Arabidopsis thaliana: one gene and its partner. The protein of the gene in region 1 interacts with the protein of each later gene in a pairwise test. Each region holds a gene or a part of one and is shown on either strand. Other genes may lie near its edges.

Evidence for each region.
Region 2: the proteins of AT1G05020 (region 1) and AT2G15270 interact in a two-hybrid assay, tested with the Arabidopsis thaliana proteins (one large-scale study listed by BioGRID).

Annotation. Positions count from the first base shown.
Region 1 is NC_003070.9:1,433,876-1,441,773, reverse strand, and holds AT1G05020 (ENTH/ANTH/VHS superfamily protein), read left to right. Parts: upstream 1-4,010; 5' UTR 4,011-4,428; coding exon 4,429-6,390; 3' UTR 6,391-6,619; downstream 6,620-7,898. Other genes in the region: AT1G05030 (Major facilitator superfamily protein), read left to right, coding at 389-557, 648-771, 1,128-1,328, 1,441-1,540, 1,764-1,876, 1,946-2,039, 2,116-2,272, 2,470-2,616 and 4 more. UniProt on the Arabidopsis thaliana protein: Adaptins are components of the adapter complexes which link clathrin to receptors in coated vesicles. Clathrin-associated protein complexes are believed to interact with the cytoplasmic tails of membrane proteins, leading to their selection and concentration.
Region 2 is NC_003071.7:6,634,329-6,641,162, forward strand, and holds AT2G15270 (PRKR-interacting protein), read left to right. Parts: upstream 1-3,502; 5' UTR 3,503-3,638; coding exon 3,639-3,890; intron 3,891-4,591; coding exon 4,592-4,924; 3' UTR 4,925-5,101; downstream 5,102-6,834. Other genes in the region: AT2G15280 (Reticulon family protein), read left to right, coding at 5,863-5,902, 5,994-6,174, 6,483-6,624, 6,702-6,771.

The DNA.
Region 1 (7,898 bases):
AATAGAGAAAGAATATTCATTATACTTTTTTGAGTAATTAAATTATATATATAATCTGATAATAGTTACAACTTCCATCCAACGACCCACTCATCATATACCAACTTCCAAACGCTAAAGTATTTTCGTTTTCACTTTTAGGGGCAAATTTGTCATAAATTCGATGAAAAAGTTGAAAAAATGCCTCATCTCTGCAAAGTGCCTCAAATGGAATAAAATTTTCTAAAAGTGCCTAAACTTGTCACATTCCTAAAAAGGAAATCACTCAGTATTTGAGCACGTGAGTGTCACGTGCTTACAAGTTTATTATTTTCCGTCGCCTCAAATTTTATTATTTTCGCTTCGCCGACGTATTTCTCTCTCTTCCGTCTAGTCTAGCTCTCCGATCATGTGGGTGACGAATACCGTACTTCTATATCGACCCAATTCTATGAACCGATTAACCTTTTCTTACCCGACCCGACTCGCCCACTCTCGTAAAGCCTCTTCCTTTTCCCGTTTCTTTCGGTCTTCAAAGAGGAAGAAGCGGGTTACGACATTGTCGACGAAGAAACCAGGTTCAGCTTTCTCACCTCCATTGACTTACCAATCTCTTTGCCAATGTTTATCTGTTTGAAATATTCTAACTTTATTCAAAATTTTAACAGATGACGATCACGAGATATCGCCAGTTCCGCCGGAGAAATTCTCCGCTGATTTGGGATGGTTATCGGCTTTTCCTCATGTATCAGTTGCTTCTATGGCCAATTTTCTCTTTGGTTATCACATTGGGTAATAATATAGCCAATTCACTGTTGCCAAATTTGTGAAGTAACAGTCGTTGTTGTTTGTTTCACTGGCCTAGTTTGATTTCTATACCAGAAGATTAATCTCTGTTCGTGTAGTAGTGTTAATGCTTGGTTGTGTTACAGAATTCGAAAAAAAGTTTCATTTTGACATTGCTGGTGAGAAACAGCTTCAATTTGAGCTTACAAAGATGTTGATTAGATTGTTTTTACAGAGTGTTGATTTGTCCCCGTCTTGACAATTTGTTAGCTTCCAGTGAGAAGAATATGAGTTAGTCAGGTTGATCTGGATTAGTTTTTCGAAAGCTTAGTACTTATAATACTATCAGTTTGTTCTTGCAGAGTGATGAATGGCCCCATCGTGTCTATTGCGCGTGAACTTGGGTTTGAAGGCAATTCTATTCTTGAGGGTCTTGTTGTGAGCATATTTATTGCCGGTGCATTTATTGGTAGCATAGTCGCCGGTCCACTAGTTGACAAGTTTGGCTACCGACGCACCTTTCAGATTTTCACGATACCCCTCATTCTTGGTGCCCTTGTGAGGTAATATCTTGTTACTAAGGTGAATCTTGATTTCGTTATGTTAGTAACAATTCCATGATGATGTTTTAAGTTGTGAGGTAGCAGCATAACTAAATTTTACTTTTTCTCTCAGTGCACAAGCTCACTCCTTGGATGAGATCTTATGTGGAAGATTTCTTGTTGGTCTTGGTATTGGCGTCAACACAGTTCTTGTTCCAATATATATATCCGAGGTAATCTAATATGTGATTCCTTTTCAACTTCATGTTTTAACTATTTGGCTTCTTCTGCTGTAAGATCTAGGACATTTCTTAAAATTGATCCTATGTACTCTCAGACTCTCAGTACAATAAGTTGTGGTTTAGCATTCTTTTGCTTAGCATATTTTGCATTTCATATGTTCGGCTGAAGAGTCTTGTTACTTCTGATATTAAGCCAACCATTTTTATTCTATAGGTTGCTCCGACGAAATACAGAGGTTCCCTTGGAACTTTATGTCAAATTGGCACTTGTCTCGGGATAATCTTTTCTCTTCTCTTAGGGATTCCTGCAGAAGATGACCCTCATTGGTGAGCTTCATTTAGCTATCTATACATTTCACTCTTCACTTCATTCTCCTCATGTATACTACTGTTCAGGTGGAGGACAATGCTCTATGTAGCGAGTATGCCTGGTTTTCTTCTTGCACTTGGTATGCAATTTGCAGTAGAAAGTCCCCGTTGGCTCTGTAAGGTATAAGTCGCCTCTTTTAATCATGAGGAAGCATTGATTTTCCATGTTGAAATCGTGTCTCATGATACTTGTTTAGGTTGGACGACTTGATGATGCCAAAGTAGTGATAAGAAACATCTGGGGAGGATCTGAAGTCGAGAAAGCTGTAGAAGATTTTCAGTCGGTTATGAAGAATAGTGGCTCCAACTTAAATAGCAGATGGCTGGAACTCCTTGATAAACCACATTCACGAGGTCATGTTAAGGTTGCTTTTAATGTTAGTTCTAACTTCTAAGGGTGTTATATTATACCATAAATCAGAAACTGAAAACATTCAAGTTTAAGAATAACCTTTTCCAGGACTTTGATCTAAGAAACTGAGAATATATAACTTCATACATGAAAAATCTATGTAGCTAAATTGTATGTCTTGTTGATATAATGGTTGCAGTTGCATTCATTGGGGGCTCCCTTTTTGTCCTACAGCAATTCGCGGGCATAAATGGCGTTCTTTATTTCTCATCTTTAACATTCCAAAATGTTGGAATCACGAGTGGTGCTCAAGCAAGTCTATATGTTGGAGTCACAAATTTTGCAGGTTCTCAAGTCTCACCTATATCAACTTTAAATTTAGATGATTGTTTTTTTCTACTGTTTCCATCACAATGTCCCTTTTCTGAACTGTTGGGTCTAATAGGTGCTCTGTGTGCGTCTTATTTGATTGATAAGCAAGGAAGAAAGAAGCTTCTTATCGGTAGCTACTTGGGAATGGTAAATATCTTTTTCTTTTATCACATAAACTCTTTTGCTTTTCACTGCTTTAGCTTATTTTGATTGAATTGATTTGGTGTCACAGGCAGTCTCTATGTTTCTTATTGTTTATGCTGTTGGTTTCCCCTTGGATGAAGATCTGAGCCAGAGTTTGTCAATACTTGGAACACTCATGTAAGTAGCTTGAAGTCCAGCAATTACTAGTCTCCTTTTCTCAGCTCATATAGTACCCAAAAAAAGACAGAAACGTATCATATGTTTGGTCCTGTTACAGGTATATATTCAGTTTTGCAATTGGAGCTGGTCCTGTAACAGGTCTCATCATCCCTGAGCTAAGCAGCAACAGAACGCGTGGAAAAATCATGGGTTTCAGCTTCTCTGTACATTGGGTATGTGTTTTTTTAGTTTTCCCATAAATCATTTTATAACCTTTTGAAGTTTGAAGAATGACGAAGCAAATGTTCTTCAGGTCTCCAACTTCTTGGTTGGTTTGTTCTTCCTGGATCTGGTGGAGAAATACGGGGTTGGAACGGTCTATGCCAGCTTTGGCTCAGTATCATTGTTGGCAGCGGCATTCTCACACCTCTTCACGGTGGAAACAAAGGGTCGATCACTAGAAGAGATCGAACTGTCTTTGAACTCCAGAGACGACCTGAGTTAAAAAAAAAAACGGTATAAGTGAAAGAAAGAGAGAAAGACCTCAAAATTTTTATCAGTTTTTCATCAGTTGTTGTAAAATGTAAATAGCCTGGAAATTAGCTTGTGAGAAATCTTGTGAGTATATAGATATACTTAGGTATGTAAGAAAAGATTTATAAAAAATGCGAAAGAAAGTTGACAAGGATTACACAAAATACATACTTATGAAAGGTTTGTGCCTATTTACAAGTGGTAAGACGTTCTTGATTTATAGCTTAATGTAGTAACATTGTCTCGATCTAGACTATACATGCTTACCATGTCATGGTGAAAATCGTGAGTCCATAACTCATGATCTCTATATATTCATATTCATATATAATACTGGTTTGCACGTCTGCAAACAAAGATAAAGATTTCTGATAATATTAAATTTATCCCAAGAATATTGAATATAAAGATGCTAGCTGGTTCTCTGAAAAAAAAAAGCGTACACAGCTTGTCATTGAATTTATAACCTATACGAATATGAGGCTCGTAGAAACAACTCTTAAGGAATTGTGAGAGAATGTTACTTTTAGCCGATCAAAAAATTTGTAACATAAATACACTGACAAGATATTTGTATTATAATAAGTTTTCGAAATTTGAACACAATTCTATGCATCATGCTTTTTCTTCTAACAAGAAGAAGAATTTAAACACAATTATATATTTAACGCGCCAAAATCGCGTGTGAAGTCTCTCTATTAGTCAACGCTATATCTTGAAAGGGTCTCGAGACTCTCCAGCCATTTTATTCTGCCTTCCTCTCTATATTTAGAAGAACAAAAATTGAAAAAAAAATCCTTAGAGAGAGGAAAAAAATTTAGAGGAAAATCTTCTAATTTGGTTTTAATTCTTCGTGATTAATCGCTAATCCAGAGTGATTAAGAAATTAAAACCCCTTGAGGAACAAAGAAGACGTTTGGGTGAAATTAAAAGCGCGACGACGAGGACAATGCCGAGCAAGCTTAAAAAAGCGATTGGTGCGGTTAAAGATCAGACAAGCATTAGCCTCGCCAAAGTTGCTAACGGAGCCACCGGAGGCGGCGATCTCACGACTCTCGAAGTTGCGATCTTGAAAGCTACGAGCCACGACGAGGAAGTCCCAATCGACGATCGACTCGTAACAGAAATCCTCGGAATCATATCCTCCAAGAAATCTCACGCCGCCTCTTGCGCCGCCGCGATCGGTCGCCGTATCGGGCGTACACGGAATTGGATCGTCGCGCTCAAATCCCTAGTCCTCGTCCTCAGGATTTTCCAAGACGGTGATCCTTATTTCCCTCGCGAAGTCCTCCACGCCATGAAACGTGGCGCCAAAATCCTCAATCTCTCCAGCTTCCGCGACGATTCGAACTCGTGCCCTTGGGATTTCACTGCTTTCGTCCGTACATTCGCGCTTTACCTCGACGAACGTCTCGATTGCTTCCTCACCGGAAAATTACAGAGACGGTACACAAACCGAGAACAAACCGGAAGAATCAGCACCAACTCAACAACAAGATCCCGGTTTAATCCCAAAGCCGGAATTAAATCCCACGAACCGGCGGTTCGAGATATGAAACCGGTAATGCTTCTTGACAAAATCACGTATTGGCAAAAATTACTAGACAGAGCAATCGCGACGCGGCCGACGGGAGACGCGAAAGCCAACAGGCTCGTGAAAATGTCGCTTTACGCCGTCATGCAAGAGAGTTTTGATCTTTACAGAGACATTTCCGATGGATTAGCGCTTTTGTTAGACAGTTTCTTCCATCTGCAATACCAATCTTGCATCAATGCGTTTCAAGCTTGTGTTCGAGCTTCGAAACAGTTCGAAGAGCTTAACGCATTCTACGATCTTTCCAAATCGATCGGTATAGGAAGAACATCGGAGTATCCTAGCATTCAAAAGATCTCTTTAGAGCTTCTTGAGACATTGCAAGAGTTTTTAAAAGATCAATCGTCGTTTCCAGCGAGCTCAGGGTTGTATCCGTCACCGAATAGTTTTCTTCCTCCGCCTCCATCGTCCAAAGATTCAGCGGTTTCAAGCTCGCTTGATTTTGGGGATTCCACGATTGATACGTCGGAGAGGTATTCAGATTACGGGTCGTTTCGTAGTACTTCGTTGGAGGATTTGATGAGCAGGACTGAAGCAGGGACTAGTAGTCCTCCAATGTCTTGTCATTCTGAGCCATACGGAGGAGGACGAGATGATCCTAATGGGAATAATTTTGATACGGTTTCGACTAAATCGCTTCCCAATAATCCCTCTGTTTCTGCTTCCAATCTCATATTAGACCTATTGTCATTGGATGACGTAAGTAACACGGCAGAAGCAGAAGATGTTGAAGACAAGAAGAAGCAAGACGATTCAAAGGCAGAGACTTTCGATCCTTGGGAGGCGTTGATGTTGAGAGATGATCCGAAGAAGAAGATAGAAACGATTGAGGAGGAACCTTCAACCGCTGAGGACCATCAGAGAGATTCAGGGAATTGGTTGCTTGCGTTAGAAGAAACTGCTACGCAGGTGCAGGGTAATAACTCGATGGCGATAGTACCGTTCGGGTTAGATGATCCGATGCCTGCGTTTCAAGCCGCCACGGACCAATACAACCCATTCTTGGAAGAACCAGTTGCGCAGTTAGCTACAGCCGGAGAACCAATGATCACGTTCGGTGGCTTGGCTTTGACAGGGTTTCAGCCAGAACCGACATTTCAGGTGAACGTTCCTGATGATTTTGAGCCGTCTTCTACACCAACATTTAAGGCCACGGAGACTTTGCCTATGAAATGTGACCCGTTTACAACATTTGAGAGTTTTGGGTTCGGAGAGACATTTTCAGAAAATGGAGGGGTAAATCAGCAATCTGTATTGCAAGAACAGCAGATATGGTTGCAGAACCAGAAAAAGATCATAGCCAAGCACTTGAGTTGATACAAAATTTATTTGGCTAGACAGAGGTTGAGATGTTTCTTTGAGTTTTTCTTTTGTTACATTGTCAACTTAACTCTTAACTCATTTTTCCATAACTTAGAGAAATGTGAAATTCAGAAATTCTTTGATTAAAAAGATATTTCCGCGGATTCTATCTTCGTACTTGCATTCCTGTGTATACACGATGTATTTTGTGTGTCTTGTATCATAATCACATTGAGAATTTGATTTTCAAGTATATCTCAACGAATAACACTCAAATATCTAAGTTCACCTTCTGAATACATTTACGTACACGGTACACTTTGGGATTTACTTTTGAATATGTTATTTTCTTTGAAGTTTTTGGGAATTGAAATTTAGCTAGCATTTTGATCATCGTGATGATGTTATGTAGCATTTAGTTTATGTATTTTTGAAAATATTTATGTATTCATTTTTAGTCTATATTAATATAACAAGTTTTCACATAATCACACAACAGATGCATGCATCTAATGTGTGTGTATTAGATGAATGTATCCGATATGCGTATTAGATGCGTATATCTGGCAAACAATTTTTTGCATTTTATTTTCCGATATGCATGTATTTATGTGTTATGATATGCATCCGTGATAATGCGAATGATAAAATGAATGTATATCGGTGGAAGATAACGAAGAGGGAAGCCAAATGGAATAAATTAAGGAGGTCCACTAGTAGGTCAAGTTGGCTTTGTGGTGTCGATAACATGAGATTGACCAAAGCTGTAGCTTGACCCCAAGGCCACGAGGGAGAAAGATCTACCAAACCAAAATCATCATAACACATCTCTTTCTAGTATATAGCCCACCACAAATATTAATTCTTTTAATAGTTATACACCACAAATTTTATCCCCCATTGGCCATTGACTAGAGTCGTTTTCGTCTTTGACAGTGGTAAAAGCTTCTGTATATGTGAATTTAGGATTCCACCTTTCTTAGGTTTCTCATTACAAGTTGATTTAACTTCTTGACTTCTCAAGTTGTTGTTTTGTAATTTAGTAAAAATTTGCTTACAAGTCATACATGATTGAATATAACACCGGCTGCTAAGCCTATTTTTCTATCATAAGTTTCGCTTTCGAGTCAAAATGTTAGTCAACATGAAATAAAACACGTTTCTTTATTTGTTTTGCTTATTGATCAACTTTAAAATAGTCCCATAAAATAGCAAATATTAAGAAATTTCAAATCAATACATTAGTTGCCAAAACCCGTCTGTGATATTATACTTTTTGAGGCTCCATAATAATGACGTGAGATTTGTTTGTGACTGAGGAAGTGGAAAATAAAGTTAAGCATGTCTTACTATTATCAAATATCAGTTTTTCTATAACAAAGTATGAATGTTGATCAAAGACAAAAACAAAAAAAAGGTGATCCACCTTTCTCCAAATAGAAAGGAAGTAAGGCAATGAATGTTTTTTTTTTTTTTTTCCATTGCATTTGCTTTTAAATCCTTATAAGAATTTGAAAGAAAAA
Region 2 (6,834 bases), on another chromosome or scaffold:
TGTAAGGCTCACAATTCATTGCCTAACCTAGATGAGGCTACGCACTATCACAAGGGCTCTCGCTCTAGAGTGCTTTGGTATGAGGTGCGACTTACGTTACTATGCGTGTGGGAAATTAAATCCATCATTTAAATATTTAGATATTTATGCTTAAACATTAATATTAACTTACTTTTTTGTTTTTAAAATTAATTGCACTTGAATTTATTGCTGCTACAACTATGAGCTATTCTTAAAAACCCTAGAATCCTTCTCTCGTTAAATTTTAATTTCAGCTTTATTGTCTTTTCATCTTCCCACGACGATGTTCCTTTTTTTTTCTTTTTTACTGAAAGATTTCCATTATATAATACAAAAGAGGAATACATGGATAGAATACGTTTTTGAAATGCGGATTTGAAATATTTATGTCGGCGGAAAACAGAGAAATCCTTGGAAGCTAAAGCCCGATACACGGGAAACACAAAAAAGAACTAAAATCGGAAAGTGAAGCTCTCTGGAATCACAAGGAAAGTCGGAGGAGAGCAGTAGTCTAACTCTAGTCTACGACGATGATGTTCCTTATATATATATATTTTTATCTAACTCTAGTATCTCTAGTCTCTGACTCTCTCTATTCTCCCAACACCCTACTATATCTTAATCATCAATTCATCATCTCTGATTTAGTTCGTATTTGTCTGATTCAGTTCCTCCTGCTATGAAACTTGATCCGAGAAGGAAATATGCAATTGTTGTTCCTTTTAAGTTTTAAACATGGTAACTTTGTAAACAAAACACAAATAGTAGAGTTTATGTGCAAAAAATCAGATAAGATAAAACTAAAAAAAGCATGCTTAAGAGGCTGAAGTTAAAACCAATACTCAAATGATGCTATCACTAGCCATTTGATACGAATAGGATGAATGTGATTATGAGAAATAAGTTGTTGAAATCTAGCCTAGTTAAAGACGTTAGAGACGCCAACACTAGGCTAGTCAACCGCATTTAAAGAAACACAAAAAGGCTTTTAGTTTTGCAGTAGTTATGGACATATTTGTTGCTCCAACGTAACTCCTCTTGATGTCATGAAAGAAAGAAAAGATAAAACCCATAGTTTTGGAGTATGTAATAAGAAGCTTAGAAATAAAGCATGTAAACATAAATCAAATTGAGTAAAAAAAATTTAGATGAACAAAACCTTTTTAAGAATGTTTTTGTTTCAAATTCTCCCTTTTGATTCTACGACATTTTAGTAACTCTCCATATTTATATGTTAGAAATTATTCTATTTCTTCTTTATTGATAAATACTAAGAATGTATTCCACCGCGATGTTGTGTAGATTGAATATTTGGTAAACAAAATATATAAAGTTCAAAATATATGAACATTTAATTGACACAATTGTTTGTAAAATATATAACTTTTTAAAAAAATTGTGATAAAACAATACGAAAAATGGGGAAAAAGACACGATTCTAAACGACTAGAAATAACATTGTAAAAAGACATAACTGTTAAAAACAATTTCTAATTAATAAATTTATATATTTAACGAAGAGTTTCAATATAAGAAAATGCAACCATCAAAACTATTTATTCAAATTAAAAATAAAATAAAAATGTTTTACGAACGATTTTGAAGAAAAGACGAAAATGGAGGGGAAAAGACACAATTTTAAATGACCAGATGCAACTTTGTAAAATACAATTGTACAAAATATTTTTTCAATTATTAAAAATTAAAATAAAATATTAATGGAGGGTTACAATGAAAAGAAACAACCATAATATGTATTTATTCAGATTTAAAATAAATAAAAATATTTTACTATCCGTAACAATGAAAAGACTCAACCATATGAGATATTTATTTTGATTTTTTATTATGTATTAAATATTTAATGAAGAGTTACAATGAAAATATTTAACCATATAAAACATTTGTTCAGAAAAAAACTAAAAGAAAAATAGGTTACAAAAATATTACGATAAAAAGAGGCAAACAGGTGAAAAAGAGTTATAATCTAAGGACGCTACTGAAGATAATATATCAATGGATGCAACAGTTCGTCAAATAAATTAAATGATACAATGGTTCATAAAAAAAAAAAAAAAAATTGCAATGGTTCGTCAGAAAAATCAAATGTTGCAATGGTTCAACTGAACAATTGCAAATATTTAAATGTATTTTAGTAAATTCAACTTTTATTTTATTTTATGATTACATTCCGATTGTAATTTCGTCAGCCTTACAGCTGGAAAACTCTTGATCATAATAACAATGGAAAAGAAGATGTTAAAAAAAAAAAAAAATTTATATAGAGACAAGCGACCACATATATTAAATATGCCAAAGGTTGTGCGTTCGTCAAACAAACTAAATGTCACAACGATTCATAAAATAAATCAAAATTTGCAAAGATTAGTCAAATAAATTAAATGTTAGTTCAATTAAATGGTTTGCGAAAATTCATTTACACAAATTAAAAATATATTTTGTGAAGTTTTATACCGAGAAACACGATTATAGATATCAAATATACTAGATGTTGCAACGGTTTTTATTAATATTAAGGGTTACAATAGTTCCTAAAATAAACAGAAAATTACAATGATTTGTTAGTAAACCAAATGTTGCAGTAGTTCAACTAAGCGGATATAAAAATTTGTTTCATATTTTAATAATGAAAATATAAAAAAATGTATGTTGAAGAGTTATGAACAAAAGTTACCATCGACTTTAACGTTAAAGAGTATTTTAATGATGAGATACGATAAAAAAAACAACTGTGAAAAATAACCGTAAATATTTCAACAAAATATGCGATAAAAAGATACAACCAAAAAACATAACCATAAATATGTAACAAAAAGTTACGTTATATAAAAAGATACAACAATTCAGATACAATCGTAAAAAGATACCCAACTAAAAAAGATATAACCGTAAAAAAGTCCTGACTATATTTCAATGAAAATACACGATAAAAAGACAGAACGAAAAAAATCAGAAAACCCCGTAAATATTTAATAAAAATTTACGATAAAAACATAACCGTTCAGAAGTGTTTGCGATATAAAGACACAACCGTCAAATTTCTTTGAAAAAATACGATAAAAAGATACAACCGAGAAAAACCCAAAAAACTCATAAATATTCTATCGAAAAGTTGCGATAAACAAACACAACCATTCAAAAGTGCTTGCGATAAAAGAACAACCGTAAATGTTTCGACTAAAAGTTACAATTAAGAGACGCAACCCGAAAAAGTTACAGTAAATTTGTTAACGAAAATTTACGATATATAAACGTAACCATTTGAACTTGTATCCTACTTTGGTTTCTAATAAAATTCAGATGACAAAGAAAAAACGCAACCATTAAAAAAATGTAAAAGACTATTTATTGAGATTGTCTTATTATTATTAGATTTACTTAACTCCAAAAAAAAACCATGGAGGAGGTAAGTCCAATACACCCAACCCAAAAAATAGACAAACCCAGCCCAAGCCCAAAAAGCCCTTCTATTTTTATATGTAGACGACAATAATTTTTACAGACCTCAAAGCAAAATTAATAAATTATCGTCTTGACGAAAAATCGTAGAGGAAAAAAAATCCCCAAATTGTGTGACCGGAATTAGGGTTTCGACAATGTCGTCCGGGAAGCCAAAGCAAGGCGACACACGATTGGTGGTTGCTGCCACTACGGCGTCGGCATTGATGGAAGCGAAGAAGGCTGATCACGGAGGATCTTCGTCTATCGTTGAGTATAAACCGCCGGTGATGCTTGAAGATGAAGAAGATCTAGAAGTAAAGCTCCGACGTATCCTTGAGAACGTTCCTGTTCGTGTTAGTAATACTTCTGGAAGTTCCGCTGGTTCTGGTTCTGGAGATTTCCATCAGGTAACTAAACTAAGCCTTTCTCTTAAATCGATAAGGCTTTGTATCTGGAATCTGAAACTGCAGATAAGGCTTTGTATTTTGTTATTAGGCGTAGTTAGGTGTGGTAATCAATTACGAGAAGTTCATTGTTGGGATCTGAATTATCTTAGTGGACTTTGTGTTGACATTGTTTTCTTAGTTTTGTGATGGATCACAATGCCTTTATGCCTATATAAGAGTTTGATAGAATGTTCCATAGACTATCCTGTATTAGTCTTTTGATGGCTGTGATCTGTGAATGATTTCAACTTCTGTATATGAATTCTGTTCTTCAGTAACTGAAAATCAGCTGGATTGTTTGTGAAGAATGCCTGGTCTTTTGTTCTTAGGCATGGCTAAGTGTGGATTCGAAGCTATAGTCGATTAATTACTAGAAGTTCCTTGTTGTACATGTGATAGGAATCTTAAATTTCTTAGTCTATAAGTGTTTTGTGACGTTGATTACTTAGTCGGTAGAGCTTGAACTGAGAGTATTAGTTGCGAGAAGCTCATGTGGGTATTAGTAATTAATGGTTGATGGTCGTTGTGTTGATTCTATAGGTTGTGGCTGAGTGTTATCTGAAGTGTGGCCCTGATTATTGATAAAGCGTGTGTACATCATTTTCTTATTATACTAGACATCTAAACTTGTGCAATACTGATGCATTGTTTTTCTATTACAGTACCGGCAAATGAGGCGGAGAGAACAAGACCGACTAACAAGGATGGATATTGACTATAACAAGCGGTTAAAAATGGCAGAGTTTACTATAAGAAGAGAAGAGAAACAGAAAGCTGCAGAGGAAAAAACATCGAAGAAGCGTTTGAAACGCCAAAAGAAGAAGCAGAAGAAACAGGAGAAGAAGCAAAAACCAAACACTACTGAGGAAGAAGTAAAGCAACCGAGAGTAGGAGAAATATCATCTGACGAAGGTGAAGATGAAGTAGAAGAAGAGTCTGTGCTAGAACCTTTACGTCCAATGTTTAATATCAAGTTCCAAGAGAACCGTTCATAGCTTTTATTGTGACATGTTACATGATTCCAAAACTATCTTTGTGAGATTCGTTTCTTTCTTTCCTTTTGTTTTCAACAATGTACGGGAAAAAGAAATGGAGCAGGTTTTAATCGGCTTTTGTATTGGATTAGGGTTCATCAAATCAACCACCAATGTATATTGACAAGTAAACCAAAATTCTTTAGTCGAAAATTGTTAAAACGACTAAACTTTGGTGCCAGCAGCTAAGCTCCATACACGCAAGTTCCCACTTTTGTGTCCACTGAATAGCAATCCTTGAGGACCAATTGTGAGTGTGCCAATCGTGTGGTCCCATCCAAGGAAGACGATATCAGACATTTGTCCCAACATAAGAGTGATGTTACAGTGCCAGTATGTTGCTTCAAGGTCATTATACATTGCAGGGTGTTGAGATCCCACACCTTGATTGTTTTATCGACAGAGTATAGCACTTGACCTCCAACAACAAAAGTACAAAACAAGTGACTTCACCACTATGATGTCCCTCGAGAGATGTCAAGTATTTGAATGGATCATCAGACTCAGAGTGTGTAGTAGCTTTCCAGACTAAGCTACTACCACAACTTGTTCCAGCAAAAAGCATTCCGTTTAATATAAAAATACCCCATCTTTGAATTGTTGATACACCGATTTAACATCTCTATATTCCAAAGTAATGTATATATTGTTCACAATGGAAAATGGAGATTAAAGGAACAACAAAAATTGTGAACCAAAAAAAAAAGAAATGCCAAAAGATAGAATCAGATCAATTACTCAAAGATAAGAATGGTTTAAAAGCAAAAAAGAAATTTAGTTAAGGCCATGAATGGTGACATAGACCGCACAAACTGCTTAAATTGAAGAGACGACTATGTGCGTAAAACGAAGAGACTCAAAACAATTTTGGGATTCGTGAGAGATATTGATTCGCTGCAATGGAAGAATCTGTTCATCAATCGATACGATTCGGCTCAGGTTTCTTCTCTCTTTCTCTCATTGTTTCATTGTTCTACGACTCCATTAACGTGTAGATCTACCGATTCATATGATTTCTGAACTGATGCAGTTGCAGATTTAATCATGTGGAAGAATCGACGCGGAGGGTTTCTTCTACTTGGATCAACGACATTGTTATGGTTCCTCTTTGAGAAATGTGGATACAGTTTCTTCCCCTTTGTTGTTAATACTCAGCTTCTCTCCGTCGTTATACTCTTCCTCTGGGCCAAATCTGCTATTCTCTTCAATAGGTATCATCATCTAAACCTGATTGTATAATGTCACATTATTTTTGGTTTGCATAGTTTTAGTGAAGAAGAATGTCACAATGTTTGCATAAGTTTGTTGTAGATAAGAAGATAATGGTTACAGGTTTAAGTATGTTTGCTAAAGCTGAATCTGAAATTTCTTGACCAGACCTATGCCTCTGGGCCAAATCTGCTATTCTTTTCTATAGGTATCTAATTTGTAGATAAGATATGGTTAAGTATGAAGAAAAGTTTGCATTACCTCTGTGCTAAAGCTGAATCTGAAATTTACTGTGATTGTTATTGACTAGGCCTATGCCTCAACTACCTAATCTTGAAATCACTGAGGAATTTGTGTTTATGGTGGCTGATGCTATACGAGTCTGGATTAATACCGTGCTCGCTGTTGCTCGTGAGATTTACGTGGGAAGAAATGCAAAGCAACTCTTTCGGGTCAGCAAACTTGTCCCTTTTGTTTTTTTCCAATAGATTTCTACTTGAAATTGATACATTGAGATTGCTTATGGTAGGTGAGTGTTGTGTTGTGGACAGTATCATTTGTTGGAAATTTCTTAAACTTCCTCACAATACTCTATCTTGGTGAGTAGTTTTTTTGTTTTTCCTTTGTTCTTTACATTGTTCATTATTGATAGAACCTATAAG